7 linked regions of the Canis lupus familiaris genome follow. The protein of the gene in region 1 interacts with the protein of each later gene in a pairwise test. Links are inferred from orthologs where the notes say so. Each region holds a gene or a part of one and is shown in the gene's direction. Other genes may lie near its edges.

Region 1 (3,254 bases):
ATGGTTTGAAGACATACACTGCTTTATTACTGGCTTCCACCAGTGCAGCCTCTACTCTGCCACAGAATGATTTTCTCCTCAGTTTAGTAGTCTGTACTCCAGTTTCACGGGTTTTCCTAGAAAGCTTTGTCCATCTCTATCTCCAGGGAGCAGTCTGGAACTGCTGACTGTCCACCCTCCTGTCAGTGCAGTGGGGCCCCCCTGCAGTAACCCCCCACCCCCTGGCTCTGACACAGCGTCACTTGTGTGCGCCGGCACTCTGTCCTCCTTCGGTCCAAGGCGTGCTGTCACGGGGCAGCGATGGCACACACTGACTCGGGCTCCCCCGCCACTTTCTCCCAGGTCATCGACATGACTGGCCGGGAGCAGAAGGTCTACTACAGCTACAGCCAGATCAGCCACAAGCACAATGTCCCTGATGATGGGCTGCCACTGCCGTCCCAGCAGCCACCGCAGCCTGGCAAAGAGGCCAAGGCGCCGGGCTTCGCCCTGCCTGAGCTGGAGCACAACCTGCAGCTGCTCATTGACCTCACAGAGCAGGAGATCATCCAGAGTGACCGGCAGCTGCAGTATGAACGGGACATGGTGGTCAACCTGTCGCACGAGCTGGAGAAGATGTCAGAGGTCCTGGAGCATGAGGAGCGGGTCATTGCCAACCTTAGCAAGGTCCTGGAGATGGTGGAGGAATGTGAGCGGCGCCTGCAGCCCTCCTGCAGCAACCCCCTCACCCTGGATGAGTGTGCCCGCATCTTTGAGACCCTGCAAGACAAGTACTACGAGGAGTACAGGATGTCTGACCGCGTGGACCTGGCTGTGGCCATTGTCTACCCACTCATGAAGGAGTACTTCAAGGAGTGGGACCCGCTGAAGGTGAGTGGCTAGTGAGAGGAGCCGCTGTGCTCCTGCCCTGCAGGTGTGACAGGGTGGTGGGTGCTGGCCCACGGTGCCGCATCACGGCCAGGTCTCTCCCCAGGACTGCGCTTACGGCACCCAGGTCATCTCCAGGTGGAAGACCCTCCTAGAGAACGACCAGCTCTTATCCCACGGCGGGCAGGACCTCTCGGCAGACGCCTTTCACAGGTACTCAGCCTGGGGCTCAGGAGAGAGATGCCGGGGAAGGCAGGGACTGGCCTTCCCACCCTGCGCCTGTCATGTGTCGGCCAGTGTTGTGCACATGCCAGGCTTGCCCTGGGAGTAAGGCTGACAGTGTCGGGCTTCAGAGAGTGGAAGAGGCAGGTGGAGGGTAAGGAAGCGGACGGACGAGGCCAGGGATGGAGGAGAGAGGGGATGCACACCTGTTTGGGTGGTGGGAGTAGTATGAAGCAGAGGTCTATGAAAGGAGGTGACCCACGAGGTGAGCTGTCAAGCTGTGCAGAGAGCTCCCAAAGGAAAGCAAGGCATCCCTGGGGACGGGAGCCCACAGCAACCCTGCCAGGCAGTGAGACCCACGCCCTGAGGTCAAGCAGGTGGCTGGGCAAGCAGGGACGAGTTAGGTGCAGCTCTGGGCACTGGGGACTGGCCTGGTGGTTTGCTGTGCTTGCATTTCCGTGCCTTTTTCTTTCTCGTTCTGGAGAGTGGGTGGCAGTGTACTGTCTGCTTTGAAACCTGTCTGTGCAGTTAGCCTGCCCTCTGCCTTTCTCCCACAGGCTGATATGGGAAGTCTGGATGCCTTTTGTTCGAAATATCGTCACCCAGTGGCAGCCAAGGAACTGTGACCCGATGGTGGACTTTTTGGATAGTTGGGTGCACATTATTCCTGTGTGGATCTTAGATAACATTCTGGACCAGCTCATCTTCCCTAAACTGCAGAAAGAGGTAGGGCCCCCAGGTCATGGGAACAGCTGGCAGCAGTAACGGGCATTTCTCTGCTCCCCCAGTGCTGTCAGAAGGCGTGGAATGAGAATCGGCTGACATGGTTACCGTCCTGTGGGTAATTCCAGCCCTTTTGTTGGCATTTCCCCCAGTTTCCCTACTTAAATGGGGAAGTTATTTTCTTGGTTTCTTCGTTTCGGAGATTCCATGCAGCTGCTGTGGGGATACTAGTTTGGTTGTGCAGAGGCCCGTGGGCCTTGGCCAGGAGAGTGCTAGGCATCCATGCTGTCGACTGCACAGTGCATCTGGAACTGGTTTGTCCCACGCCTCCTGCAGGTGGAAAACTGGAACCCACTGACAGACACCGTGCCCATCCACTCCTGGGTCCACCCGTGGCTGCCCCTTATGCAAGCACGCCTGGAACCACTCTATTCCCCCATCCGCAGCAAGCTTTCCAGTGCCCTGCAGAAGTGGCACCCCAGCGACTCCTCTGCCAAGCTCATCCTCCAGCCTTGGAAAGATGTCTTCACCCCTGGCTCCTGGGAAGCATTCATGGTCAAGAACATAGTGCCCAAACTAGGTAAGGGAATAGAGAAGAGGGTATTGCCCTGGTTTCTGTGGCCATCGGTGAGGATCCATGTTTCTTAAAACATGGCCCTGGGGCTCCATGAAAAATCTGAACACAGGATATTTCTCAATCCAAGAAGTGCCATATTGCTTAGAGGTGGAATATAAACATACCCAGGGTCCCTATGGCATCAACAGCCTCAGACTCCGCCAGCTTCTTGGTTCCTGGTCTGGTTTGGGTTTCTGGTAACATGCTAGGCATTAATGTTCTGAAATTTCTGTGCTATTTGTTTTTAAATATGTATTAGTTATTTCTGGATTATAGAAAGTGGTTTTTAAGAATTGCCATGTCAAGAGTTTAAAATTAACAGATATAAGGTTTAGTCCTGCGTCATCTGATGAGGATTTTGCTATGTGCTTCTGTGCCTTTGCTTTAGAAACCAGGCTTCTTTTGCAGGGATGTGTCTTGGGGAGTTAGTCATTAATCCCCACCAGCAGCACATGGATGCTTTTTACTGGGTCATCGACTGGGAAGGAATGATCTCCGTGTCCAGCCTTGTGGGGCTGCTTGAGAAACACTTCTTCCCCAAGTGGCTTCAGGTATACCCTGCTGTGTTTTTGGAGGGGGTTGGTGGGATGGAGGCAGGGAGGATTCGCTTGCTTTTCTGCCAAGGTCTGCCTGTAGGAGCTTGATCCTTGGACAGCTATCAGGTGACAGTGCTATCACACAGAACAAAAATAAGCAGTAGTCACAGCAACCACCATTTATTGAATAGATGCCACATGCCAGATGCTAAGCACTTGATGTGCGTTCCCTCCGCTTCTGACACCAAATCTTTGTGGGTAGGGGCTGGCATAGCCTTGAGAGGTTCAGG
Region 2 (3,555 bases), on another chromosome or scaffold:
CTTTAGCATCCACCTGTCCAGCCACCCTCCCAGCTTCTGTCTTCTCAAGGATGCAGGGCCCAAGCCCTGGCTCCCCCAACAGGCACTTGGGAAGGCCCGAGTAGATGATCTGGACCTTTCCAAGTAGTTCACATGGAATCCTCCTGTTTGTTGTCTTAATCGCTTTGGCTCCCAGAGTTAATCCCACTCTGCCCCTGCCTCCCTGAGCTTCTTAGAAGGGCAAAGGGGAAGGGTAGAAAGGCAGTGAGGACAGCTGGAGCTGGCCTGCTCTGGGGACAGCGTGTTTGTGAAGGATTTTCTGTCCTCTCAGGTCCCCTCTGGCTCTTCGCCTGTCTGTGCATGCATTCTCCACCCCAACCTGTGTTTGCATGGACTTTCCTCTCTGCCCTGCCACCTCCCCAAGCTGGGCCTTGCAGGGACTCAAGGGCCCTTCTCTCCTGTGTGTCAGGGTAGAGTCTTGTTTCCTCTGGGCCTCTCGGTAGGTCTCTTCTCCCCTCCCAGGCCCTAGCCCCAGTTTGTTGTGAGTCCACTCGGGCTCTAGGAGAAGAGTGAGGGGAGCAGGAGGGCACAGTATCCAGGCTGCTGGGTTTCCCAGGCACCCCAGGGGGCCTACGGTGCGGAAACCAATGTGCTTGTCTTTGCTTCTGCCTGGGACTGTGTCCAGTCAGCTATTTCCTGCCAGGTCAAACTTCCCTCCTCTCCGGGAAGCCTTCCTGATTGCCCTCAACGGTGCCTAAGGATTCAGCTCTGATTACAGGAGTATATTTTTTCATTTCTTTTTACCCTCCCACCACCCACAGTCTAAAGAGTAGGAACCCGAGTCCTGTATTGCTCCCCTCTGCCCAGGCAGTGCGGAGTCTGATGTTTTGGAAATGCTATGATAGAAGAGGGAAAATCTGGAATTGGAGGGCCTGTATCAGAAGGAAAACCGGCCCCGCGGCCCCGGGTGGATGCTCCGCTCCGGCTTCCCTCCGCCTTGCACGCGTTCCCCTGGGCGGGCGCCTCCCGGGCTGAACTTCGGCCTCCCCCTTCTCTCCCACCCTAGCTCAAGATCTCCTTCAGCGAGACAGCACTGGAGACCACGTACCAGTACCCCTCGGAGAGCTCGGTGCTGGAGGACTTGGGCCCGGATCCTGAGGCTCCCGGTGCCCCCAGCCCCCCGGCGGCCCAGCCTGACGACGACGACGACGACGACGACGACGACGACGAGGAGCTGCTGCTGCTGCAGCGGGAGCTCCGGGGCGGCCTGCGCACCAAGGCCCTGATCGTGGGTGAGCGGAGGCTCCGCCGGTCCGAGGGCGCCCCCTGGCGTCCAGGGCGGACACTGCGCCCTGGGAGGGAAGGGGCGGCGTGAGTCTGGGCAGGCAGGACCTCCAGCAGGACCTCCGGGCGCACCGCTCTCCTTCACAGATGGGGAAGTGGAAGTGCATGCACAAGGGGTCTCCAGATTTCAGAACCAGGACCCCTTCTGAGCACTCTCGTGTGCTTAAAAACACCGGGTTTGGGTCAGACAGGCCTGCATTTGATTTCCGTCTTGTTTCTTACATGGGGTGTAACCTCCAGGAAATCACCTGACCTCTGGCCTCAGTTTATTAATTATGACATGGGGTTAATAATAACCACCGCCTGGGGTTTACTGAGAAGGTTCAGTAATGTTTACGAGGCACCCTGTAACTATGGCTGGCCATCAAATTACTTAATCTCCTCTGGTGCTACTATGTGATTAAACAGGTTGTAAGAATGCCTGGCACAGGATGCGAGCTAGGTGAACAATGACTGCTGGTACTGTAGGAGCAGGTGCTGGGCATGGAAAACACTGACTTGCTCAGTGTAGAGAGTAAGTGGGGACGGTGGATGGCAGAGGCCCTCACTCACTCTGTAACCATTACTGCCTCCTCTCCCACAGATGAGTCCTGCCGGAGGTGACCCTCCTTCAACAGAGGGTCTGTCTATACCCCCCTTTTCCAGAATTGAAGATCCTGGAGCCCAGAAGATTGAGAACAGAGAGACCCTGAAAATGAGCTTGGCAGTGAGGGGCAACCAACATCTTCCAACCTTCTTTCCTCATCCTGTTTATGGGAGCAGAGCTAGTCACCCAATTTCCACCCTCACCAAAGATCCCTGGTGTGAGTGTGTCAGACATGCTGGTGGCATCCTAGGTGAATTAAGAATGAGCATCACGTCCTGGGGAGGATCACAGGGCTCACTGGGGCTGGGGTGTAGCACCTCCTCCATCTCCACACTCTCCCTTCAGCCTTCCTTGACTCCCCACCACCCCGTGGGGGCTCTGAGGATTTAAGCACTCATCCTGGACAGCCTGCCCCATTCCATTTACAGGCCCCTCTCCTTCGTATTCCTTAGGGCATTGCCCCCTTGCTTATACCTCCTGCCTCCTCCCCTGACCACCAGCCTGGTTTACAAATCCCATTAGCTCCCAGCCCCACCTGCCGAAGTCCCAGGTTTACAAGCACACCTAACTGTTGAGTCCATATGGAACCCCCCCGCCCGCCCTTTGTCTCTTTGGGGGTGTGGCTTCCTCCACTTTTGCTCAGTATTACTGTACCTCAGTTGTCCTCAAGAAGGAGAGCTGGGGATTTTAACCCTGTACCCCCACCTCATTATTTAATTCTGTTCCTTCCAGTGGTTCACAATTTAATTGAATTGCAAGTGGGTGTGGGGTGACTAACAAGGCCCCTCAACCCTTCTCCCCCATTTCTCCTTCCTTATCAACTGCCTGTTTGTTTTTTAAGTTTTCCATAATAAAACGGAGATCTCTCCAACTCTCCTGCTGCTTTTCCTTCTTTAGAAAAAGGTATGGGGTGGGGGAGGCTCTGTGTTCCTCATTCCAAGCCGCTCCCATCTTCCTATTGGCCATGAAGAGGTAGTGGCCACAGCTGCGGCGGTGGGGTGATGGAGATGAAACAGGAACTCAGCATTGACATGAAGAAAGGGCTCTGGGAGAGCCCTGTAGCTGTTGCTTGAAGGAGTGGCAGGAAAAGGACCAGTTTAAGGAAGGACAGAAAGAATCCACTAAACTGGAAGTGCCATTGGGAAGCCTGGGTGGCTCAGCGGTTGAGGGTCTGCCTTCGGCTCAGGTCGTGTGATCCCGGGGTCCTGGAATTGAATCCCACATCAGGCTCCCTGCATGGAGCCTGCTTCTCCCTCTACTTGTGTCTCTGCCTCTCTCTGTGTCTCTCATGAATAAATAAAATCTTTAAAAAAATAAACTGGAAGTGCCACAAGGGCAGACTGTAGTTGGGTTTAATGAAGCATCCCCATACCTCACAAAATTATCCCTAGCACACTTGCAAAATTATTACTAGAATGACTGAACAAACATGAATAGATGAAAAGAGCTAAAATATTGGAAACAGGACATTCTGAGTTGAAGAACTCCAGTATTTAGAAGCAGCTAGCTAGTGTGTAACACTGGCTAATCTAGGGGCTTTTACTCCAAGACTTGGCACCATAAATAATAAATCTAAAATTGCTGCAAAATATAGTGTATGTTTCCTGGAGTGTCTGGGTGGCTTAGTTAAGTGTCAGCTTTTGGCT
Region 3 (4,915 bases), on another chromosome or scaffold:
TCCCTCATTTGGTTTAATTGAGTTTTCTTTACTAACCTTCAAGGAACATTACATCTTTTTAAGGTGGCCTTCTTTTCATCATACCCATCTGCAGCTGTTTTCCGTACTGGGCATTTTAATTACTATTATACTTTAAGTCATTTTGGGGGGGGGGGGGGCGGTAAATGTTTCTCATAAGGTGCACAAAGCGACTTGATCATAAAAATGCAATTTTAAACACCAATCAATGAAAGTAAGCCGTTTAATTTTGAGGTGCAAGGAATATAAAGAAATGACTATTCTAATTGGTGTTTAAAATGTCCTCTGCTTGATGTTCCAGGCAATGATGACTGTTTCTTTTGCAGCCTTAATTTTGATGGTTTGAAGGACAGAAATCCCCCCAACAGACACTAAAACCATAGATGTTTAACAACTACATTGTCTAAGCCAGACTCTTCTGCAGGTCCCTTACCTCAATCCAGCAGTACTGTATGTAATACAATATGAAAACTCGTCCCACAAGGCTGGTTTTAACTTAATGATACTTAGCAGAAGGGCTTTGCACTTTCATGATAATTTCCACCAGAAAAATCTCTCTGGAACTTACTAATAATAATCAGACCTAATATTAGCCTCAGATCAGAGATTTATTAAACCTATTTGGCAGAGCAGATAAAGTTGAATGACTAGGTACTCAAGCATCTAGGCTGAGCTCGGGGCCCTGGAAAAAGACTCTCAGGCTAGCAGCACCCTAAAAGCATTCCTCAACAGTTAAATTTATACTAGACGTGACCTTTCTTCCTCCCCAGAGGCTGTGGGATGGTGAATGTTGCCATTCCTTGTTGCTGTCTGGGGGGGGAGGGGGGGGGGGACGGGGGGCTTGAGGAATCGGGCCTCTCCTCCTGCACAGCAGGGGTGGATGGAGGCCGAGCCCTCCTCCCTGAAGTTCCCCTGGACCCCCAAAGTCCGGGCTGTGAGCTCTTCAGCTCCGACTTCGGACGATCCCCTACGAGACGCCCACGGGGCTCTCGGCCGGCGCTCGGGCCCACGCGGGGGACCGGGGCCGGGCGGCCAAGTCCTGCAAGACCTGCGGACTCGGTCCCCACCTCCTCGCTCGCTCAACTTCCCACTAAGGGCTCATCCGTCTCCAACGCCCGCGAATTAAAGGCAGAAAAACAAAACCTCTTCTGCGTGCGAGCGAAGCCCCCCGCCCGGAGGTTTCGGGGAGACTCTTCCTCCCCAACAGGAGGGGACCCATTTTTGAGCAAGACGAGAAGTTTCCTGCGGGGCTCGCGCGGGCGCGCGGGGGGGGGGTCCCCGAGGGGCGCGCGGGTGCGGGTCCCCGCGATCGCCGGCGCGGGCAGGAGCGGCGCCCCCGGCCGCTCCATCCTGCCCCCCGCGGGAGGGGGTTGGGGTCCCGCCGGGGGTCCCGCGAGGGTCCCCGGGGCTCGGCCGCCCACCTGCCCCCGGCCGGGCCGTCTCCGCCCGCCGCCTCCCCCGCTCCCCCGCCCGCGGAGTCTCGTTCCAGTCCTCCCTTTGTCCTGCCCCGGATTGGCAGGTTTTATTATTCCGCCTGAACAACCCGGCCGCCCAGTGGCTGAGGGTCGCTGACGTCGGCGGCAGAGCCGGGGAGTAGTTGGGATTCGGCTCTGTCAGTAACACATGTGTAAGCGCCGCGCAGGGAGCGAGCGAGCCGGCTAGAGGCCAGCGCCGCCGCCGCCGCCGCCTCCTCCGAGCCGGGCGGCCGCCGCAGCAGCAGCAGCCCGGGCAGCGGCGCAGGCTCCAGCGCGCCGGGCCCGGCCGGCCGCAGCTCCCCGGCTCCCGGCCTCCGCGCCGGCCGCCGCCGCTCCGGGGCTCTGGTGCCCGCGGCCGCTCCCCGGCTGGAGGGGCAGGAAGCGCGGCCGAGCGCCCGCCGCCGGCCCCGAGCGAGCGAGCGGGCGAGCGAGCGGGCGGGCGGGCGCGCGGGAGGGAGGAAGGCGGAGGAGGAGGAGGAGGAGGAGGAGCGGGAGGCGCGCGGGCGGGGGCGGGGGCATATACAAAGTGAAGCCACATTGCCAAACTTGCAGCAGCGATTGCAGCAGTTGCTGCCGCTGCGCCGCGCCTGAAGCCGCGCCGCGCGGGCCGCGGGCTCCTGCAGCTGCTCGCGCGGAGCCGGAGCCGGAGGCGGAGGCGGAGGACGACGCGGAGGACTCAGCCTGACACTCCAGCTCCCGGCCGCCTGCCGCTTACGGCGGGGCCCCCCGACCCAGCCTCAGGGCGACGCGTTTAAAAAAAAAAAAAAAAAAAAAAAAAAAAAGCAGCCCTTAGCCCCCTCCTCCCCTTTCCTGCTTCTGCGAGAACATCCCCCCTCCCTCCAGCTCCGCCAGCCAAGGCGCCCCTTCCTTGGAAGCCGAGCGGCTTCGCTCGCTTTTCGCCGCCGCCGCCTCTCGCAGTATTGCAATATAGGGGAAAAGCAGGTAAGGGGACGGCTGGGGAGCCGCGGGCGAGGGGGGGCAGAGGGAGGAGGGGGCCGATGTGGGCCAGGGCTGTTTTCTTTGGCTTCCTTCCCTTGACCGTCCCAAATTGCAAGTAAACAATACGTCGGCTTGGATAATGCGCGAGTCTGAAACTACCGAGGCCGGCCTGCGAGCTAGCACGGAGGGCAGCCGGCCCCGGGCCGCCAGCTTTGTAGCGGTTCCTGCTTACAAAAGGGTTCTTCTTGGAGACGGGGCTGCTGGGGACCTGGGAGGGTGGGGAGGGGTGTGTGTGCGTGTGTGCGTGTGTGTGTGTGTGTGTGTGTGTGTGTGTGTGGTAGTGGGGGGGTATTTTCAGTTCCTAAGGGAAAGGCCGGAGGTGCTTAAATGAGGGTTTAAGTATGAGAAGTAGTGTGGGGGAAATAGTCACGACCCCCCCCCCCAGCCCCCCAGTAAACACTATTTTTGAAACAGTGGCAGAAAGGATCTAAGTGAGCAGGATTCAGTATTGCTGGTTCTTTTCAAAAATTCCTCTTGGCTTATAAGTCTTTTGTTCCAATCCAGGAGAAATCCGGTGAATCACCTAATTAAAATCAAGACATGAATTAAGCATCCATTTTTGTACTACAAATTGCCAGCGCTACGTTTGTCCCTCCCCTGGTCTCCATTAAAAAACACCAGAGACGTTGTTAAAGGGGGGCAGATTTTGCCTCTAGCTGCCAGTTCTGCTTTCTATTTCACTGACTATCCCAGGACCTAAATTGCTTGGCTATGTAATTACTAGAGTATAAGCCTATTTAACTTAAAAGCTTTCTTTTTTTTTTTTTTTTTTTTTTCCAACTCTAAATGAAACTTGATGAGGGCCCGTCCTTAGTTATCAGGGGAGTCAGTTTCTGGTCAGTCCTCTTGATTCATCTCTTTTAGATTTAATCAGCATTAAGGTATTGCTTGTCCTTAAGAGCTTTAGCTAATGGGGTTACTGGATGCTTTTCTCAGTGTAATGTTTCCTTTTCGAAAAAAATATACATATATATTTACCTCTCACCAAAGATGGGGGCGGGGAAGAGCTTGGAATCTCCTCCCTCCCTCTCCCCTTTTAAAAAGGAATTCGGAGCGATTAAAACGTTGGGGGAAACAGTTTAAAGACCTCGGGCAGGAAATGCAGATTCATTTGGGTTAGGGCTGAAATTGTAACAAAAAGCAATTCCTCGAGTAAATGCATCAGATAAATCAATTTACATAAAGGTATGATGCATTCGGATAAATGCAATGCTAATGGGTTTTAGAGTGGTCCTGTTTCCAAAGTCTCAGGGTTTTGTTACAGCTTAATTGGTGCAGTTCTTATTCTGGTTTATTGTGCGGTCACTGGACACACGTTCCGGGACTCTTTCGGAGGAAATGTGTTTAAAATCGGCCTATTTAAGGAACCCGAGTCCTTGTTTCGTTCCCTTCCCCTGGTTGTTTTTTTTTTTTTTTTTTTTTTTTTTTTTTGCAGCAGCCAAGTTGGGCCGGGGACAGGCAAAGTTCGCCCTCTCCCTTCTGAGGTATCAGCTGAATGTCTTGAGCAGATAGCCGGGAGCCTCGGGGGGAGCCTCCACTCTCGGCTTACAGAGGACAAAGACAAAACAGGCTGCTTAATTGGCAGTAAATAACTTGATCTTTTTATAGAATAAGTGACTGGAGGAACACTAGGACTTTATTGGACTCAGGATTGGAGGCAACAAATTAATCGGTTTAGGCTAAGCTTTATAAATTGATTCCTATATTATACCCCAGTTGCTTCTCGTGACATTCATTAGAAAGAGTGGGGAATTTTTTTAAAAGCAGTTTTTGGTGACAGCAGGACTGGCTCGAATATAACTTGTGCATCCCTTAATAGTGCCTTCTCGCATATTATCTGTAACGTCGCCCCCCCCCCCCCCCCACACACACACACTCCCCCCCCTTTGGAGGAACAAAGCTTTAGCATTTAAATTGCTGATCAAGGGCAGATTAGTGAGACCAAAGTGGAGAGTGTTTGTATAGGAAGTTAACAGGCATCCTAAAGTTCAATGATCTATTATTCTTGCCTGTGTCCTGAAAACCCAGAGAAAACACTCATTGATCTTCAAAATGAAATGAGATTTGGAACAATAATGGGAGATGGCGGTCACCACAATGGCATGTGAAAGGTGCTGTTTAAAATACGAAAAACCAGTTTCGCAACTTTACACACCGCACCCCCTCCCTCGCGTCCCCTGCCTCCCCTCCCACCACCTCGCTCTCCCTCTCCCTCTCCCTCTCCCCTCCGCCGGTCCCTCCCTCCCTCCCTCCCTCCCTTCCAGAAAACCGAACTCCTTCCAACTTGTGAACTGCAGCTGCACTTCCCAGGGCAGAGCTCGGGAGGGAACGTGGCTCGGGCGGGGGCCGCCTCCCCGCTCCCCTCGGCTGGCGCTCGGGGCTCGGCGGGGGCCGGGGAGGGGCCGGGCGCGGCGGTGGGTGGG
Region 4 (4,125 bases), on another chromosome or scaffold:
CTGAAATGGGAAAACCCATCTGATGGCCCAGGGAACCCAGCAAAGTAATCTGTAAGATACAGGTCGGCCTCGTTTCACCAAGCCTTCTGTGTGAGGCTTCCTTGCTTTGCCCTTGAAGAGAGAACGTTGAAGGTTGCCACTCTTGGTCGCCTCTCCCCTGGCAAATGTATTATAGACCTCTCTCTGCACTTCAGTGCTTCCTCTGGCCAGTCTCTGCAGAAAGATTCGGCCTTCTGACAAAGGGAGTGGATCACCTCTCCTGATGTTCCTCAAAGGGCGTTACACAGGATTTCCAGCCCTGCCCACCTCCTCTTGCAGGTGAAGAGTGACCCAAGTGTTTTCCTTCTGGAGAGTTTGTGCATTTAGCCGCCACTAGTGGGGGAGGCTGCAGAGAGAACCTTGCCCTGGGCCAGCCCCAGCCTTGCTGGGTAAGACTGCTCCTCCTCAGAAGCGGCTCTGCCCCAAGACTCAGGTTTCTGCAGCCTCTTTCTGTGCTGGGTGGTATGGATGCCATCTTCTGCCCATTTCATCTCTGTGGGCCTTGAGAAACCTGTGGGACTGGCCGGGCTCCTGCCAGGTGATTCTCCTCTTGCCCATCAAAAGCCAAACCAGGGGATCCCTGGGTGGCTCAGCAGTTTGGCGCCTGCCTTTGACCCAGGGCGCAATCAAGTCCCAGTATCAAGTCCTGCATCTGGCTCCTGGCATGGAGCCTGAAGTCTTTAAAAGAAAAAAAAGCCAGAGCAGGGATCTGCGGTTGGGGTGGGGGGAGGTTTAATGAGATGGGCTCTTGACCCCCCACAGTGCCTCTTAATAAAGTCATGGGGATTGGCCATCTATGAGCCTCCCTACAAAGGACCCTGTAGGAAGTTTGTGAGGCCAAATCCAAAAAATTCTACTCCTTCCTTTCTCTGAAAAGACCTACCCTTCCCAGGTCTCCCACTGAGGACCTAACCCCATGTTAAACTTAAACCAGTATTGAGCCCTTCCATTCCCCCTCAAAGCTTTGCCTAAATCCTCTTTGGATGATTCAGGAGCCAATTGAGGGGGAGTTTCATCCATGGTCTTCCCCATGGTTTCTCTGCCTTGACGTTTTACTGCCCCCGCTGCCAGCCATCCAGAGGGAGTCAGGAGAAAGCAAAACAAAAAACAAATTGGTCTCCATTTATCTTATTTGTGCTTGGCGCTGGTCAGAGGCTGGGTGGAGAAAGACAGCATGGCTGGAGTAGGGCTTCACGTGGCTCTGTGGGTCTTCTGTGCCCAGGCATCCACCCAGCATATGTGCCCACAGACTGGGATTGCCAGTGAGTAGGGTGGTGTCATAGGTGCCCTTCTGTTTCTCTTCCGCAGGACAAGATCCAGAAGCTTTATGAACGGAAGATAAAGGAAGGAATGGATATGAACTATATTATTCAAAGAAAGAAAGAATTTCGGAACCCCAGGTGAGTTTCCCATGAGTCTGCAGGGTCAGTTGAGTCACCAGTATTGGACTAGGGACTAGAATACCCCCCATGGAGGTGGCAGCTACAATGTAACCTGTGCCCAAAGGGGCCATCACCCCAACTACAGTGACACAGAAACCGGGATGAAGAGTGGAGGCCGTGAGGCCAGAGCTAGGATGGAAGAGGCCTGGCTGGGGTCTCCTCCTCACTCTGCCCCTCCCAAGGCCTCCATCTCATCTCTAGAGTGAGGGAATTGGACTAGGCAGTCCCTGAGGGTTCCTCTTTCCCCGCCAAACTGTCACTGATTCTGCGTGCAGGTGACAAGTTTTAGGAACAGTGCTGTGTCTGGGTCTTACTCCCTCCAGGGTCTGAGCAAGTGCCACACCTGTAAACAGTTTGGTCTGGTGGCATCAGGGCCCCGACCCAGCCACGCAGCCAGATGTGGGTCATATGTCAGATGTCTGGATAAGACCAAAAAACACCATACCAGTCCTGGCTCCTGGCTAACGATCCATCTTGCTGGAAGTGGCAAGGACTTGGAATGACTTAATGCCTGTGGACATTTCTCCTTTTATTAGGAAGCTTACTTGCAACAGTTTAGCTGGGTTTAAATGGTTCTTCTGAGCCTAAGAACTAGACGGTTCTGATCTCTCTCAGTCTGCTGCCACACAAGGCATGGTACTAGAGCCTGCACAGTGCCTTCTGGTATTGTTCTTTCAGCATCTACGAGAAGCTGATCCAGTTCTGTGCAATTGATGAGCTGGGCACCAACTATCCAAAGGTATGTCCTGCATGCAGAGGCTGAGGGCTGAGGGAGGATGCCCAGGGCCCTGTGTTCATTCTGCTGGATTCAGCCTGGAGCCACTGAAAGGCCCATGTAACAGTAGCACTGGCTGAAGAGCACAGCCCCCAGCTCTCTCATTTGAGTCCCTAATGCTCTGAAATAGTCCAGGAGAGAGATCGCAGCGACAGACCTGGCCCCAGGCCCCTGATTGGTTAGGACATGAGTGTGCATCACTGTGCTCCTAAAGCACAGCCCACAGAGAGGTATCACTTCCTCTGTGACTCCCAAGAGCAAATCGGCCACCCCCTTCGCTAGAGACCAGGGATAACAGCTGAGCCCTCATGCCCTTAAGGCAAGAGCCTCCAGGCCAGGAAAATCCATGGGAAGACTTGGGGAGAAGGGATGTGGGTTTCTAAGCCATTTGTCATTCAACGACCCTGGCTGGCTACAACATTAACTCTTACTTTTCCAGGATATGTTTGACCCCCACGGTTGGTCTGAGGACTCCTACTATGAGGCCTTAGGTAGGTGGCCCTTATCTGTCTCTCCTCCTGTCTGCTGTCAGCCAACAGGTATATCAGGGTCTCCTCTGTGTCAGGGCATTTCCAAGGGAGTGGGTATACGGTCTTGAATGAGATAGACCCACTGCGACTTAGGAGGCTTATGACCTGGCACAGAAGGCAGAGAAGGAATAGTCCTAGTAATGAGGGGTGTTGTGGTGGGGGGTGCAGGCTGGGCCAGCTAACCTGCGGAAGGAGGGGGACAGTCTTGCTGAGAAAGTCACGTTTGAGCTGAGGTTCGAAGGTGCCCAGAGGCCAGCCAGGCAGATGCAAAGAGTGTCCCAGGCAAGGGGACTGCATATTCTGAAGCCAGCGAGAAAGCATTTCCTCAGAGGTCCTCGTAGGGAGAACTGGGAGGAATTTCAAGGAGTCCAAGCTCTCCGATGGCAGACCTTAACCCAGCAGCCCACAGACCAGATCTGGCCTGTAGGTGTGTTTTGTTTGGCCCACACACATTTTATCTTGCTCTAACTTGAATCAGTTGCCAACGTTTTACCTCAAATCTGTAATCTCGGCTTCTCTTGGTCACTGGGCAGGTCATCCACACAGGGCCTGCATCCCCACATGGTGACAGCCAGTGCTCGGGAGCAACTGGCCCCTCCAAGACAAGGCCCCAGCGCCTGGGCCTTTCTGTGTGAGGCCTGTGCTCTCTGCTGGCCAGGGGCGGGCACTTCCGTTTGTCCATCACAAAAGGACAGTGAGCCCAGTGGCCCAGAGGCTAGCGCACACACTGAGCAAAAGCCCAGGGGAGGCAGCAAGTGCTGGTGTGGGGTCCCTCGGCTTCAGGTGGCCTTTCACGTGGGAGCTGTTCCGGGACTGCTTTTGTTAACATCTTCTCCTGTTTTTGTTAGCTAAAGCCCAGAAGATTGAAATGGACAAATTGGAAAAGGCCAAAAAGGAACGAACCAAAGTAAGTGATGGACTGATGTCCTAGGGGGAGGGGCAGGTATGTGGAGTGTCGTTCCTCGCCCCCCCACTTTCAGCTTGAAGGTGCCTCTCAGTTGCTTCCATTTGGTTTCCTGGGGTCTTGTGGTTTGCTGCACTCCCCCCTCCCTCTGCTGCCTGCTACAGCTGCGGAGCCCTGCTGGCTCTGGGCATGGTCATCAGTGTCCTCCCTGGCCTGATAGAGTAGTGGGTCTTCCTCCTGAGATCTGATCTGCACAGTCTGCCTCCATGCTTCCTTGTAGGTCCCATGCCTGGTGGCCAGCTGACCCCTTATTTTAGGGTCTGAATAGCACTTCTTCTCAAGCAGCGTGATTTACTTTTTTTAAAAAAGCTCTGCATTTTATTTTTTTTAAGATTTTATTTAATCATGAGAGACACAGAGAGAGAGAGAGAGAAG
Region 5 (3,070 bases), on another chromosome or scaffold:
ATGACCAGACGGCAGAGAGGTGCACAGTTCGTAGAAGTGAAGCTGTTGGGTAGGAGAGTACGTAGGTTCATTTAAAACTGATAGATACGGGGCGCCGGGGTGGTGCAGTCAGCTGAGCATCTGACTCTTGGTTTTGGCTCAGGTCGTGATCTCAGGGTTGAGAGATCAAGCCCCACGTTGAGCTCCTCGCTCAGCAGGGACTCTGCCTGGGGTCCTCGCTCTCCCTCTGCCCCCCACCCCCGCAACCCCCCCTCATGCAGTCACACCTGCACAATCTCCAGAAAACAGTTAGGGGAGCCAGGGTGACTCCACCGATGAAGCATCTGCCTTTGGCTCAGGTCATGATCCTGGGGTCCTGGGATCGAGCCCCACCATTTTAAAAAAAAATGTTTTTTAAAAGTTAAAAAATTTTTGATAGTCAAATTACCATCCAAGAACAGCTGTACCAATGGACACACCCAATGGGGAACAGAAATTCCACTGTCCCCATATTCTCACTGAATCTGGAAATTATTTGCTGCTTGGATGGGTGAAAACGGTTCTCATTGCTTTACGTGGCACTCCGGCCCCCAGGAGTGACGAACGTCCTCACTACTCAGCACAGGTTAGTTCTTTCACGAGTATCATTTTAGATTTGGTTTCGTAATCCTTACCGACTTGGTATGTTCTGGGGAAGCAGACCGTCCTCAAGCTGGTTCACAGCGCCCTTCCCTGTATTTTAGTGTCGTGTGCATCTGCTGGACGTCTTTCTGTCACGTCCCTGTGCCTGTCGGATGCCAGTAAGTGCGCTCAACAGGCCCGCTTGATATAGGAGCCCGCTCATGTTAAAGATCACTAAATAGACTATTTTCCGCATACAGATTTATCGAAGGAAGAGGAACGTTTGGAAGTAGAACCACCTCTGGAGAATACTGGAAGACCAAGAGAGAAGAAAGATCAAGAGAAGAGACCCGCTTTGGTGAAAGAATGGGAACTGCCACCACCAAGGACTGAAGTAAGTCCTCCCGAGAAGGAGGGCAAGCGGGAAGACGCAGCCCAAGGGAAGTTCACAGGCAGCCTCCAGATAAATGACACGGATGAGACGCCTGATAAAACTGCTGCGGCCAGTATCAAAGCGCCCTTGCGACCGAGAAAGCACTACTCCTTCACGGAAGCCACCGAGAACCTGCATCTCGGGCTCCCGGCCTTGGGCGGGCCGGCGGGCACAGGCGGGCCGCGAGGCAGTCTCAGCGCGGGCAAGCCGCACGGGAGCGCGGGCCCTGGGCCAGAGCACGCGGTGAGCGGGTACGAGCCCTCCTTTGGCAAGTCTTCCCGAACAAAGGCCAAAGACACGTTCAGGGATAAGAAAAGAAGTCTAATGGAGGAACTCTTTGGGTCGGGCTACGTCTTCAAACACGACCAGGCCTGCACGGCTGCCCCTCCACAGCTCGAGGAGACGCCGGAAAGTAAGATGCACCATCTACCCCCCGGCCAGGCCTCCGCCAGCAACGCTTTCAGAGATTCTAAAGTAACTGTGGTAAATTCTATTAAGTCATCTTCACCTCCGGAAGGAAAAAGAAAGATCATTATTTAAATACAGTCAGCATCCTACTACATTCTGATTGGGTATTCTCGTTCTTGCGGGCCTTTAAATCTGATCACGCTAGGGGGTGTGTGTGTGTGTTTCAGTATTTCAATGGACTTTGGATAATTAAGGTTTTATTATAACCTAATTCCAAAAATCCGTTGTGTTATAGCCAATGATGACATTTCAAATACAAAATTCTATCTTTTTTTTTTTCCTACAATGAAAACATGTCCATGATCTTTGGGAAGACTCCTTTCTTCCATGGCTTTAATATCCTGTGGGACCCCACGCACGGTTCGTAAGTCCAAGTCAGTCAGCCAAGATGCACACATCTCGTATACGGAGGAATGTTCACAGCAATCAAATTGTGTTTTAACCAAAAAACACGGAAGCAGCTTTGAAAGGGAACAATATGATCAGAAGACTATTAAAAAAAAAAAAACCCACAGTGTGGTTTTATCAAAATTATTTTTGAGTGTTCGATTCAGCTAAACCACCTTGTGATGACACTCTCCTCGTGTACACCCGAGATCCACTTTTTATTTCTCTTTGTTACATACCTGTCCCATGTCCTTTTTTCTGTTAATCTTGCTATAAAAGAGCATATGGAATAGTGTCCCCTCAAGCGAGCGGCTCCATCCTGAGAGCTTCATTACATATTAGGACGAGATGGGCTGTAGGCCCCACGTTAATCGGTTTACTTACCTTCATCTACTTTTAAGGGCAACTTATTGATAATATGGACCACATTATTTCCAAAGAGCTTTATGGACTGGTGTGCAATATTATCACTTTAAAAAACTAAGAGTTGGGATCCCTGGGTGGCGCAGCGGTTTAGCGCCTGCCTTTGGCCCAGGGCGCGATCCTGGAGATCCGGGATCGAAATCCCACGTCGGGCTCCCGGTGCATGGAGCCTGCTTCTCCCTCTGCCTGTGTCTCTGCCTCTCTCTCTCTCTCACTGTGTGCCTATCATAAATAAATAAAAAAAATTAAAAAAAAAAATAAAAAAAAAAAATAAAAAAAAAAATAAAAAACTAAGAGTGAAATAAAACTTACTAAAGACAGTGAAAGCCATGGTAGGAAAACAGTTGTATTCAAAACCAAAGAGGAGGTAAACATTGCCATAAGCTTTGATCTTTATGAAAACCACTGAGGAGAACAGAAAAGGGGAGAAGGGGAGGGAGGGAGGGGAGTAGGATGTCCCATAGGCTTCTAAGGGGAGACAGGCAAATGCACATCAAATGATATGAATGCCGAGCCGTAAATTCTAGAGAAATTTACTATAAGAATTAGAAATGCTATATGGAATAATATTCCAGTGTTACAAGGTCTACTTGCTTTTTTTTTTTTTAAAGATTATTTATTTACTTATTTATTCATGAGAGACAGAGAGAGGCAGAGACACAGGCAGAGGGAGAAGCAGGCTCCCTGCGGGGAGCCCACGTGGGACTCAATCCCAGGACCCTGGGGTCACTCCCTGAGCTGAAGACAGATGCTCAGCCA
Region 6 (4,125 bases), on another chromosome or scaffold:
CAAGTTCTGGCCATTGAGGGCCGAGGGCTCTAGGGCTGGGTTGGCCTCCAGGCAGGGGCCGGCTGCTTGCAGCTGCCACCCTGCTCCAGGCCTGGGCACGTAGGCAGCTGGCTGACTCCGGCTATGGGTCAGAGCTGCGTCAGGTGTGCTCTGGTCAGTGTGCCGTGTCCCCCAGAGGGACAGCCGTGATGAAGGATGTAACACAGCTGCCAACAGCCATATTCCTGATCCCACCGCTAAGTGCCGTGGAGGGTAGAAGCACGGGCTGGATGTGCGGTGGGGTGGAGGGCTCGGAGATCAGAGCTGGAGGTTTCATCTCCACCTCCCATTGGAAGCTGTTATTACTACACAAACCCTCAAGCACTACACAGGCAGAGGGAGAAGCAGACTCCCTGCAGGAAGCTCTCAACTGTTGTGCTGAGAGGCGGGGGTGGTCCTGGGGGTCTCCAGCAACCACCCAGCCCACCCTGAGCCATCCTGTCCACACAGGCCATTGCCACACGGGAGGAGCTGCATGCACAGCACTCGCGGAGCCTGCAGGAGAAGGACACGTTGCGGAAGCAGGTCCGGGAGCTGGCAGAGAAGGCAGACGAGCTGCAGCTGCAACTGTTCCAGCGCGAGGGCCAGCTGCTAGCTCTGGAGGGCAGGCTCAAGCGGCAGCAGCTGGACATGCTCGTGCTGGTGGGCCTCCCAAGGGCTGTGGGCCTTTGTAGCGCCCGCTGGTCAGAGATGCAGCCACAGTAGAACACAGGATAGGCCCTCAGATGCCAGCGTGTCCCCGAGACACCAGAGCCCAGAGGCAGGGACGCTGGTCAGCCCAGGGCCAGGCCTGGCTTGGAGATTGCTCCACGGGGGGGCCTGGGCAGGTCCCAAGCCTTTCCCAGGCCCCCCTCTCCTTCTGGGGAGCCTGGGGGTGTGGCACATCTCAGGGCCTGGCAGGCCACTTTGGGTGTCATGAGGAGGAGGGAGGGGTGTTCTGGCCTGGGACCCCTCGCTGTGCCCCACCTTATGCCGACCCTGGGGGTGGCTGGGTTTCCTGTTTGCTGACTGACTCCTCTCTGTGACCACAGAGCTCTGACCTGGATGACAGCTCACCCAGGAACTCTCAGGAGGTGAGTACGCCCCCCAGGGTGGGCTCCAGGCCACAGTCTCTGCCAGACCACTGTCCCCCCAGTCCCCTTTGGGAGCTGGGCCCCAGCTGGCCCGCCTCCTGGTCCTTGGAGCAAGGACTTCCTGCCAGGTCGTTGATGCCCGTTTCTCTCCCGGAAGCTCTCGCTCCCCCTGGACCTGGAAGCCGTCCAGCTCTCGGACAAAGGTGAGGAGCAGAGCAGCTTTTCAGGGACGAGATAGCCGAGGCCTCCTTGTTCCTGTACTTGGACTGGGCATAGCCCTGTCCCATGGATCTCTCACAACCCCACTTTACAGATGGGGACATTGAGGCTTGGAGAGAGACAAGGAGCCCTCAGGCTCCCCAATGAACAAACAAGCTAGGTGTGTGGGGCCTGTGCCCCAGCTCTGATGCTGAGAGCCCACCCTGGGCTCAGGAATACAGGGCTGAGGCATCCTGCTCTCCCTGAGCTTCCTCTTGGGCAGGGGGCAGGGGAAGTCCAACAGTGTCGGAGGTACAACGAGGGGAAAGCAGGGCTGTCTCAGGGCCAGGCACAGAGGTGGCAGGAACATGGCCTGGGGGGTGCTGAGGGGTGACAAGGGATCGAAGGGCTCATTCTGAAGGTGGCATGGAAAGCCAGACAGTCCTCCTCTGTGTCAGGCCTGCTGCCAGCCTCCAAAGGAAGCAAAAGAGGAACAGCCAGTGCAGAGGCAGGGGGCTGAGCTTCAGGCTACAGAGCCCCAACGTGGGGACAAGCAGGCAGGACCCCTCAGGCAATGAGTGGTAGGGGAAGGCCCTGGGAGCCCCAACCCAGGGGTGGCATGGCCCCTTGAAGGAATTGGGGCAGGCTTCAGGGTCGGAGGCTGAGGAAGGGAAGGTGCTAGCCCCCTATGATGTCAGTGGAGACTGGATGTCCAGCCCCTCTCTTGGCCAGCTTAGGGGAGCCAACCCATCAGAGCACCTTCTGTCTGAGGGCCCTGAGCCCTGGGCCTGTCCAGGCTCTGGCAAATTCTAGGGAGCTGGCAGCTTGGAACGTTCTGCTGCCAACTGCTGCAGGGCCCCAGCCCCCACCCAGGAGCTGAGTTGGATGGTGGGGCAGTGCCTGGTGGGCTTCTGGCAGCCTCTGGCTGCCTAGGGGGAGTCCCTGACCCCAGTCCCCTTTTAGGGTTCAAGTAAGGACCCAGGGGATGTTGCAGGACTGGCCCCAGCTTCAGGGGAGGGGCGGTGGCCAGGGTTGGCCATGCTAAGTGTGGTCCCTGCAGCTGGGGAGGACTCACAGGCCCAACTCTCCATTCTAGGAGGCCTGGCCAACAAGGACAGCCCACAGCAATCGTTTGTGGCCCTGCAGGAGGAGCAGCTTCCACTGACCACCAACGTAAGGCTTCCCTGGGGTCCCCACTGCCCTAGGCACCCCTGACACAGGCCTCGGGGTGACTGAGCCCAGGAAGGGGGTCTGTGCAGCCTGGATGCCTGGGGATGAAGGCAAGGGTCTCTGCCATTGGCTCCTGGGGGGCATTGTTTGGAACAAGGAGCCTAGTGCCCCTTGTTGCACGGAGCTGCCTGCAGAGTGGGGCCAGGGCGGGGCAGCGGCGGAAGGCCAGTCCTCCGTGCGGGGGCGCTGCGCTCAGGGCACCCTAGGAGCCGGCTGTGGGTCCGGGTCCGCCCTCCGCCCCCCGGAGCCTGAGCCTCGCTCCTCCCCCAGGGCGCAGGCCTGAGCGGCGGGGAGCCCCCAGAGAAGGAGCGGAGACGCCTCAAGGAGAGCTTCGAGAACTACCGCAGGTGCGGCCCCGGGCCGGGCGGGCGGGGCAGGGGGCGGGCTGTCCGGGGTGGGCGGCCCCGCGGACACGCGCTCGCCCCTGCAGGAAGCGCGCCCTCCGGAAGATGCAGCACTGCTCGAGGCAGGGCGAGGTGGACTGGGAGAACACCACGGGCAGCGACAACACGGACACCGAGGGCTCCTAGCCGGCCCTGGCGCGCCGGCGGGCGTGCTCGGTGTGCGCGGGGCGGACGCGGGCAGCAGTGTCAGAAATGCATAATAAACCACCGCGGTCCCGCCACCGCCGCCTCCGCTGACTTCGCTCCCATGTGCACCCCCGGCCGCGCGCGCACCTCCCGCCTCCAGGGGGCAGCAGAACACAGCCGGCCAGTCGGCGGACCGCAGCCGGAAAGGGCCGATTACGTTCCGTGCCCGCTTCCAAGATGGCGGCGGGGCGGCTTCGGCGGCGCGGGGCGGGGCGGCGCGGCCGAGGTCGGAGGGCGGGATGCTGCGGGCTGCGCTGAGCCGCGTGCCGCCGCTACTGAGCCGCGTGCGCCCCCGGGAACCCGCCCTGAGGTGGCTGTGGGGACGCAGGGGCGGCCCGGAGGCCGCGGGGAGAAGGCGGGCCGGGGCGGGGCTCTGGGGCTGGCGGTGCTTCAGCTCGGAGCCGGCGCCCGGGGCCGCACATTACCAGCTTGTCTACACTTGTAAGGTGAGCGCGCAACGGGTGCGAAGCTGGTTCCGCATTCGGGTTGGCCGGCGCGGCGGGCAGCGGTGCCGCGTGCGCTGACAGTATGGAGGGGTGGGGCTGCCCGGGGGCGGGGCTTTTCCGGGAGAGGAGTGGGGCTATGGCTGGGGGCGGGGCCTTTCCGGGAGAGGGTGGGGCTATGGCTGGGGGGCGGGGCCTTTTCCGAGAGGGGGTGGGGCTATGTCTGGGGGCGGGGCCTTTCCTGGAGAGGGGTGGGGCTATGGCTGGGGGCGGGGCCTTTCCTGGAGAGGGGTGGTGCTATGGCTGGGGGGCGGGGCCTTTTCCGAGAGGGGGTGGGGCTATGTCTGGGGGCGGGGCCTTTCCTGGAGAGGGGTGGGGCTATGGCTGGGGGCGGGGCCTTTCCTGGAGAGGGGTGGGGCTATGGCTGGGGGCGGGGCCTTCTCCGGGGAGGGGTGGGGCTGCCCCCAGGGCGGGAGGAGGGGCTACCAAGGGGCGGGGCTGGAACACAGGTGGGTTGTCTCAGGAAGAGCAGGCCCTGCCCCGGGGTGGAAT
Region 7 (4,744 bases), on another chromosome or scaffold:
CCACCTCTTGGGCCTACTCAGCTCTCTCCTCTGCCCGGCTCCATTAATGTGCTCGCTCCCTTTCAGAGCCTCCAGGACTTTCTTCTAGTTTGACCTCTCCACGGCATTGTTCACTGGGAACTGACCATCCTCTCCTTCCTACTTGCCATCCAGTCAGAGGTGCAGAGGACTCTGCACCTGCCTAGTGTTGTTGCCACCTATGACTGTCCTCCCAACGTTCCTTACCACCCAGAGTGAGCTCTATCCTTGGTTACTTTTGGTGATTATATCCTTGTCTGTGGCATTGGGACCCTCCCCGCTCTGAGTCTCCAGACCTGTTCTTTTCCAAGCTTCAGTTCTTTTCCAAGCGTTCAGGGAACGCTTATTTCAGGGCATTCACCTATCAAGGCATTGCCAGGGGTTTGGTGTGGGTGTTGTTCCAGCTCCAGGCTGGTTGGTATAGGGCTGCACAGATGAATGTGCACGCACACGCACCTGCCATGGAGAGCCATAGAGAGTCGGGGGGATTGGACACTGTTCGAATAGGTAATCTCTACTGTCTGGTGGAAAGCAATCTGCAACCCAGGTAGCACCATTAGGAAGTTCTTGGGTGCCTCAAAGTCCATTTTAAAGCCAAAAGCAAATTCCACATTGCCTCTCTGAGCTGACTTGGCTGCTTCTGTTAATAGCATCACTGTCTGAGTCTGGGACTGTAGCTTGGTACTTAAATGCCCTCACAGCTGCTTTACACATGATAGGTGTTCAATAAAGATGTGTGTAAGGAATACTTAAAGTCTGTTCTCTTCATCTGCTCAGTTCATGAGAAACCTACGCAGCTTGCTTTCTTTCTTTCTTTTTTTAAATATTTGTTTCATTATTTTAGAGAGCACAAGCAAGAGGGGCAGAGGGAGAGGGAAAGAGAATCTCAAGCAGGCTCTGTGCTGAGCATAGGGCCCCATGCGGGGTTTGGTCTCATGACCCTGAGATCATGACACAACCAAGAGTCAGAGGCTTAACCCACCACACGAGGCAGGGGTGTTCTATCCAGGCCGGTGCTCCCCACCCCCAACTTCATTCTCCCATACCACCTGGTGCCTCCCTGCATCCTGTTCTGATTGTGAAGGTTTGTTGAAGTGCTTACCTCCCTCCTGACAGGGAGCTTTGAGGCCCTATCTCTCCTGATCAAAGAGGACCCCTGGCAGGTGCCTGGCACAAAATAGACACTGGATAAATAATTATTAAATGAAGAAGCAATGAATCTTTGTATCTTACTGCCTGCCAAGTTGTAGGCACAGAGTGAAGGCTAGTTGAATAGAATGAGTGGACTTTAAGAGAATTTGATCTATATAAGCCACTGTGTCACTGGCCACAGTCAGGCCCCGTCTGATTAGAGTTGCTGTCGACCTGTGCGTCCTGTGTGTGGGGCTGTGACCTGGCGCATCTTCAGGCTGCCAGGCTTCCAGCCGAGGGGCTGAGATGGGAGGTCTCCGCAGGGTGCAGCTGACACACCGGGTGGTCTCTTCACCCACTTCTGAGCTTCCCTACTTGGGAAAAAGCCCCCTGAAATGGTGAGGGGCTGTGTTGGATCGCGCAAGGCCAAGGATCGCTGCGGGGGGGGGCGGGGGGCTGCCGCTGCGGGTATAGTGACCCTGTTGCAGGCGGCGGGCTCCCTCCGAGCTGCCACCCAGGTGTCGTCGGTCGCCGGCTCAGCCTCGCCTCCCCGTTCTGTCCGCAGGCCGCCCGGCGCCCCGAGGAGGCCGCTGAGCCCCGGGCCATGGTCCCGTCTCGCCGGCCGTGGAACCTGGGAGCCACGCCCTCGCTGCGCGGCCTGTGGAGAGTGGGCCGGGCCCGCGCGCCCGAGCCGGGGATGGCTCGCCCCGCCCCCGCCGGCCCGGCCGCCCGCCCTTTCCCATACACCGGCCCGGGGAGGTTGAGAACTGGTGAGTCCGCATTTTTAAAATGCCTCTTTATTTCCCTTCCTTCCTCCAGATAGCAGCGATGGGGCCGGGCTCTCTCGCAAGTTCCTAGGCTCGGTCAGGGCTGTCAGGTAATTACAGGGTGCCGGCAGCCCGCGGGCCGGCCGAGTGGGAGTCGGGGCGCCAATCTCGCCGGCGCTCCTGCCCGGCGCTCCTGCCCGGCGTCCTGCCCGGCGTCCTGCCCGGCGTCCTGCCCGGTGCTCCTGCCCCGCGACCTGCCCCGCGTCCTGCCCGGTGCTCCTGCCCCGCGACCTGCCCCGCGCTCCTGCCCCGCGTCCTGCCCGGTGCTCCTGCCCCGCGCTCCTGCCCCGCGCTCCTGCCCGGCGTCCTGCCCCGCGCTCCTGCCCGGCGTCCTGCCCCGCGACCTGCCCGGCGTCCTGCCCCGCGACCTGCCCGGCGTCCTGCCCCGCGCTCCTGCCCCGCGCTTCTGCCCCGAGTCCTGCCCCGCGACCTGCCCGGCGTCCCGCCCCGCGCTCCTGCCCGGCGTCCTGCCCCGCGCTCTTGCCCCGCGCTCCTGCCCCGCGCTCCTGCCCGGCGTCCTGCCCCGCGCTCTTGCCCCGCGCTCCTGCCCCGCGCTCCTGCCTGGCGTCCTGCCCCGCGCTCTTGCCCCGCGCTCCTGCCCCGCGCTCCTGCTGGTGGAGAGACGTCCCGGGCGCCGAGTTAGACCCCGGCGCGGCCGCCGAGCGGGGGGCGGGCGGGGGCGCGTCCTTGGTCCCCCGCCCAGCTCGCAGTCTCGCTCCGGTTTGTGCCCGCAGCTGGTAAACAAGGTAGGTGAAGTGGCTGCCCCGGTGCCCCGTGCGGCGCGGACACCTGATCGCGGCGGGTCAGACCGCTGGGGGCGCGAGGAGGAGCCGCGGCGCCGGCAGAGTGTGGGTGCCCTGAGCCGGGTTTCAGGTGCTATGTGGGGCGGCTCCCGCAGGGTGGCCCACAGCAGGTGGGGGCAGTGAAGGAGCCCACCTGGGATGCTGTCAACACCAGCTCTCCTTTCTGGGTCGCGTCCCCTGGTGCCTCACAGGCCAATAAGTGAGCGGCACCTCTGATTTGCCTGTGGGCTGGGTTGTCGTTGGGTCTGGGCAGTTGCCCCACGACTGCCTCCTGAGGTGAGCTTGGGCAAATCTATCTGGAAGTGTGGAGGGAGAGAGGGTCTTCAGTCCAGATGTCATCAGACGCTTGCTGTCTGTTGTTCCTGACCTAGAGAAAGAGGTTTAGATTACCAGCCTGTCTGAGCTAGCAGAGTTCCTCTGGCTATCAGATCCAAGCCCCCCTGGTACACAGAAGGGGAAACTGAGGCCTAGAAAGGGTACACAGCAGACTCCTGTTCCGTCTCCTCTCCCACCACATTTGTGCCACTGGTGGGCACCAGAGTGATACCCTCCAAAGTGTCTCTGCAGGGGACAGTGAGGCTGGGGATGGCACTGGGGGCCTCTGGGAAAAGCATAGGCTTTTGGGTCAGGTAGCCTGAGTCATCTGGAGGGGGATGAAGACGGTCTCTACTCCACATGGTTGTCCTAAGGATTACATATGTAATATGAATGAGTATTACTTTTCTGGTTAAACAAAAAAAACAAGACAAAGAAAAAAAAAACAAGCAGAAGACAAAATATGTTCCCTTGGAAAACTAGAAAAAATAAAAAAATAAAACCCAGAAAAGTATAAAAAAGAAAATAAAAATCACCTATAAGCTTGTTAGTGAACATCTTATGTAGTTCCTTCCGATCTTGTATATGTGGGCATGCATATTGGTCTATTAAATGAGTATCATGAAGATTATATGACCATACAGGCTTATCTGCTTTTAAAATTTAAGACAAAGGTCAAATGAAATCGTGTGAAATGCTAAGCAGAGTGCCTAACAGTGAGTAGGGCTTCAGCCAGCTTGTCACTCCTAGCCCCTCAGCCCCCACCCCGACTCTTGCCTCTGTCTTGGGAGGTATAGGCAGAGGGTGAGTTAGCCCATGGGATTGCAGGACTGGCTCAGTGTGACCCTGGGCACGGTTTTAACCCTCCCCGGTCGTGGTCCTAATGGCCTGCACTTATGGCCAGTTTCTGTGTGCCTGGTGGAGAGTGAGCATTTTAGGTGTGTCATTCCATGTAACCCTCAGCACAGTACTATGAGCTTGGTTCCTTATCCCCATGTTATTGATAAAGGAAACTGAGGAACAGGCAGGGCAGTAAGCACTTGGCCGGCTGCTGGCACTCAGGATACTGTCACACCCCCATGAGGCTGTACTCATTCCCATCCCATGCTACCCTGCAGGCTGTGGTGGGGGTTGAAGTGGGTGCATGGGATGTCCATACCATGATCACCTCTCTCCCCTGTCCAGTGAGGGAGGCAGTGGGTCAGAGGCTCGAGGGGATGCACTTTAGCTGGTGCTGAATATGCTTTTGGAGGCTGCTGGGACCAGGCCACCCAGCATGGCGTTGGTCTTTATGAAGTCAGGGGAGAAATTGCCACCTAGAGGCGGCCTTGGTAATAAAGCCACAGCCCTGGGGTGCTCCTCCTGTGAAGTTTAGTGCAGCCAGGTTGGCATCGGCTTCCCTTTGCTACTCTCTGGAGAGGGAGTTCATGAGCAAGTGTCAGCCCAAAAGCCACTGTGGAGGGTGGGGAACACATGTACCCCAGAAGCTTCCGGTGCCTTCCCAAAGGGAAGCTCGGGGTGGCTTTTGGGAAGAAGGGAGCACAGCTCCTGCCTGGTGCCAGGCCTTCCCTCCGAGTAGGTCAGGCATGTGAGGGCGTGTGAGTCCCTCCTGGCCGCGCCCGGGCTGGCCCAGCATGTGGGGAAGCGGAG

What was found.
Region 2: the proteins of TFIP11 (region 1) and PPP1R18 interact in binary tests that used the Homo sapiens proteins (3 or more experiments, as listed by UniProt). The link is inferred for Canis lupus familiaris from reciprocal best matches to the Homo sapiens genes TFIP11 and PPP1R18.
Region 3: the proteins of TFIP11 (region 1) and LMO4 interact in binary tests that used the Homo sapiens proteins (3 or more experiments, as listed by UniProt). The two-hybrid records come from large-scale screens. The link is inferred for Canis lupus familiaris from reciprocal best matches to the Homo sapiens genes TFIP11 and LMO4.
Region 4: the proteins of TFIP11 (region 1) and SAP30BP interact in binary tests that used the Homo sapiens proteins (3 or more experiments, as listed by UniProt). The two-hybrid records come from large-scale screens. The link is inferred for Canis lupus familiaris from reciprocal best matches to the Homo sapiens genes TFIP11 and SAP30BP.
Region 5: the proteins of TFIP11 (region 1) and LCA5L interact in binary tests that used the Homo sapiens proteins (3 or more experiments, as listed by UniProt). The two-hybrid records come from large-scale screens. The link is inferred for Canis lupus familiaris from reciprocal best matches to the Homo sapiens genes TFIP11 and LCA5L.
Region 6: the proteins of TFIP11 (region 1) and CARD9 interact in binary tests that used the Homo sapiens proteins (3 or more experiments, as listed by UniProt). The two-hybrid records come from large-scale screens. The link is inferred for Canis lupus familiaris from reciprocal best matches to the Homo sapiens genes TFIP11 and CARD9.
Region 7: the proteins of TFIP11 (region 1) and KIFC3 interact in binary tests that used the Homo sapiens proteins (3 or more experiments, as listed by UniProt). The link is inferred for Canis lupus familiaris from reciprocal best matches to the Homo sapiens genes TFIP11 and KIFC3.

What each region holds. Positions count from the first base shown.
Region 1 is NC_049247.1:20,585,456-20,588,709, reverse strand, and holds part of TFIP11 (tuftelin-interacting protein 11), read left to right. Parts: intron 1-342; coding exon 343-870; intron 871-973; coding exon 974-1,080; intron 1,081-1,646; coding exon 1,647-1,815; intron 1,816-2,148; coding exon 2,149-2,392; intron 2,393-2,836; coding exon 2,837-2,979; intron 2,980-3,254. UniProt on the Homo sapiens protein: Involved in pre-mRNA splicing, specifically in spliceosome disassembly during late-stage splicing events. Intron turnover seems to proceed through reactions in two lariat-intron associated complexes termed Intron Large (IL) and Intron Small (IS).
Region 2 is NC_049233.1:619,104-622,658, reverse strand, and holds the end of PPP1R18 (phostensin), read left to right. Parts: intron 1-1,045; coding exon 1,046-1,271; intron 1,272-1,906; coding exon of another isoform or gene 1,907-1,926; exon of another isoform or gene 1,927-1,968; coding exon 1,969-2,015; 3' UTR 2,016-2,785; downstream 2,786-3,555.
Region 3 is NC_049227.1:61,435,688-61,440,602, reverse strand, and holds the start of LMO4 (LIM domain transcription factor LMO4), read left to right. Parts: upstream 1-1,891; 5' UTR 1,892-2,435; intron 2,436-4,511; exon of another isoform or gene 4,512-4,603; intron 4,604-4,915. UniProt on the Homo sapiens protein: Transcription cofactor. Plays a role in establishing motor neuron identity, in concert with MNX1, acting, at least in part, to disrupt LDB1-LHX3 complexes thereby negatively modulating interneuron genes in motor neurons.
Region 4 is NC_049230.1:5,750,945-5,755,069, reverse strand, and holds part of SAP30BP (SAP30-binding protein), read left to right. Parts: intron 1-1,347; coding exon 1,348-1,439; intron 1,440-2,159; coding exon 2,160-2,220; intron 2,221-2,695; coding exon 2,696-2,747; intron 2,748-3,634; coding exon 3,635-3,693; intron 3,694-4,125. UniProt on the Homo sapiens protein: Plays a role in transcriptional repression by promoting histone deacetylase activity, leading to deacetylation of histone H3.
Region 5 is NC_049252.1:34,041,790-34,044,859, reverse strand, and holds the end of LCA5L (lebercilin-like protein), read left to right. Parts: intron 1-860; coding exon 861-1,573; 3' UTR 1,574-2,468; downstream 2,469-3,070.
Region 6 is NC_049230.1:49,116,519-49,120,643, forward strand, and holds the end of CARD9 (caspase recruitment domain-containing protein 9), read left to right. Parts: intron 1-489; coding exon 490-681; intron 682-1,070; coding exon 1,071-1,112; intron 1,113-1,269; coding exon 1,270-1,315; intron 1,316-2,406; coding exon 2,407-2,483; intron 2,484-2,810; coding exon 2,811-2,887; intron 2,888-2,970; coding exon 2,971-3,070; 3' UTR 3,071-3,166; downstream 3,167-4,125. Other genes in the region: DNLZ (DNL-type zinc finger protein), read left to right, coding at 3,370-3,576. UniProt on the Homo sapiens protein: Adapter protein that plays a key role in innate immune response against fungi by forming signaling complexes downstream of C-type lectin receptors.
Region 7 is NC_049223.1:57,969,182-57,973,925, forward strand, and holds the start of KIFC3 (kinesin-like protein KIFC3), read left to right. Parts: upstream 1-1,738; 5' UTR 1,739-1,753; coding exon 1,754-1,919; intron 1,920-1,968; exon of another isoform or gene 1,969-2,026; intron 2,027-2,603; exon of another isoform or gene 2,604-2,722; intron 2,723-4,744. UniProt on the Homo sapiens protein: Minus-end microtubule-dependent motor protein. Involved in apically targeted transport. Required for zonula adherens maintenance.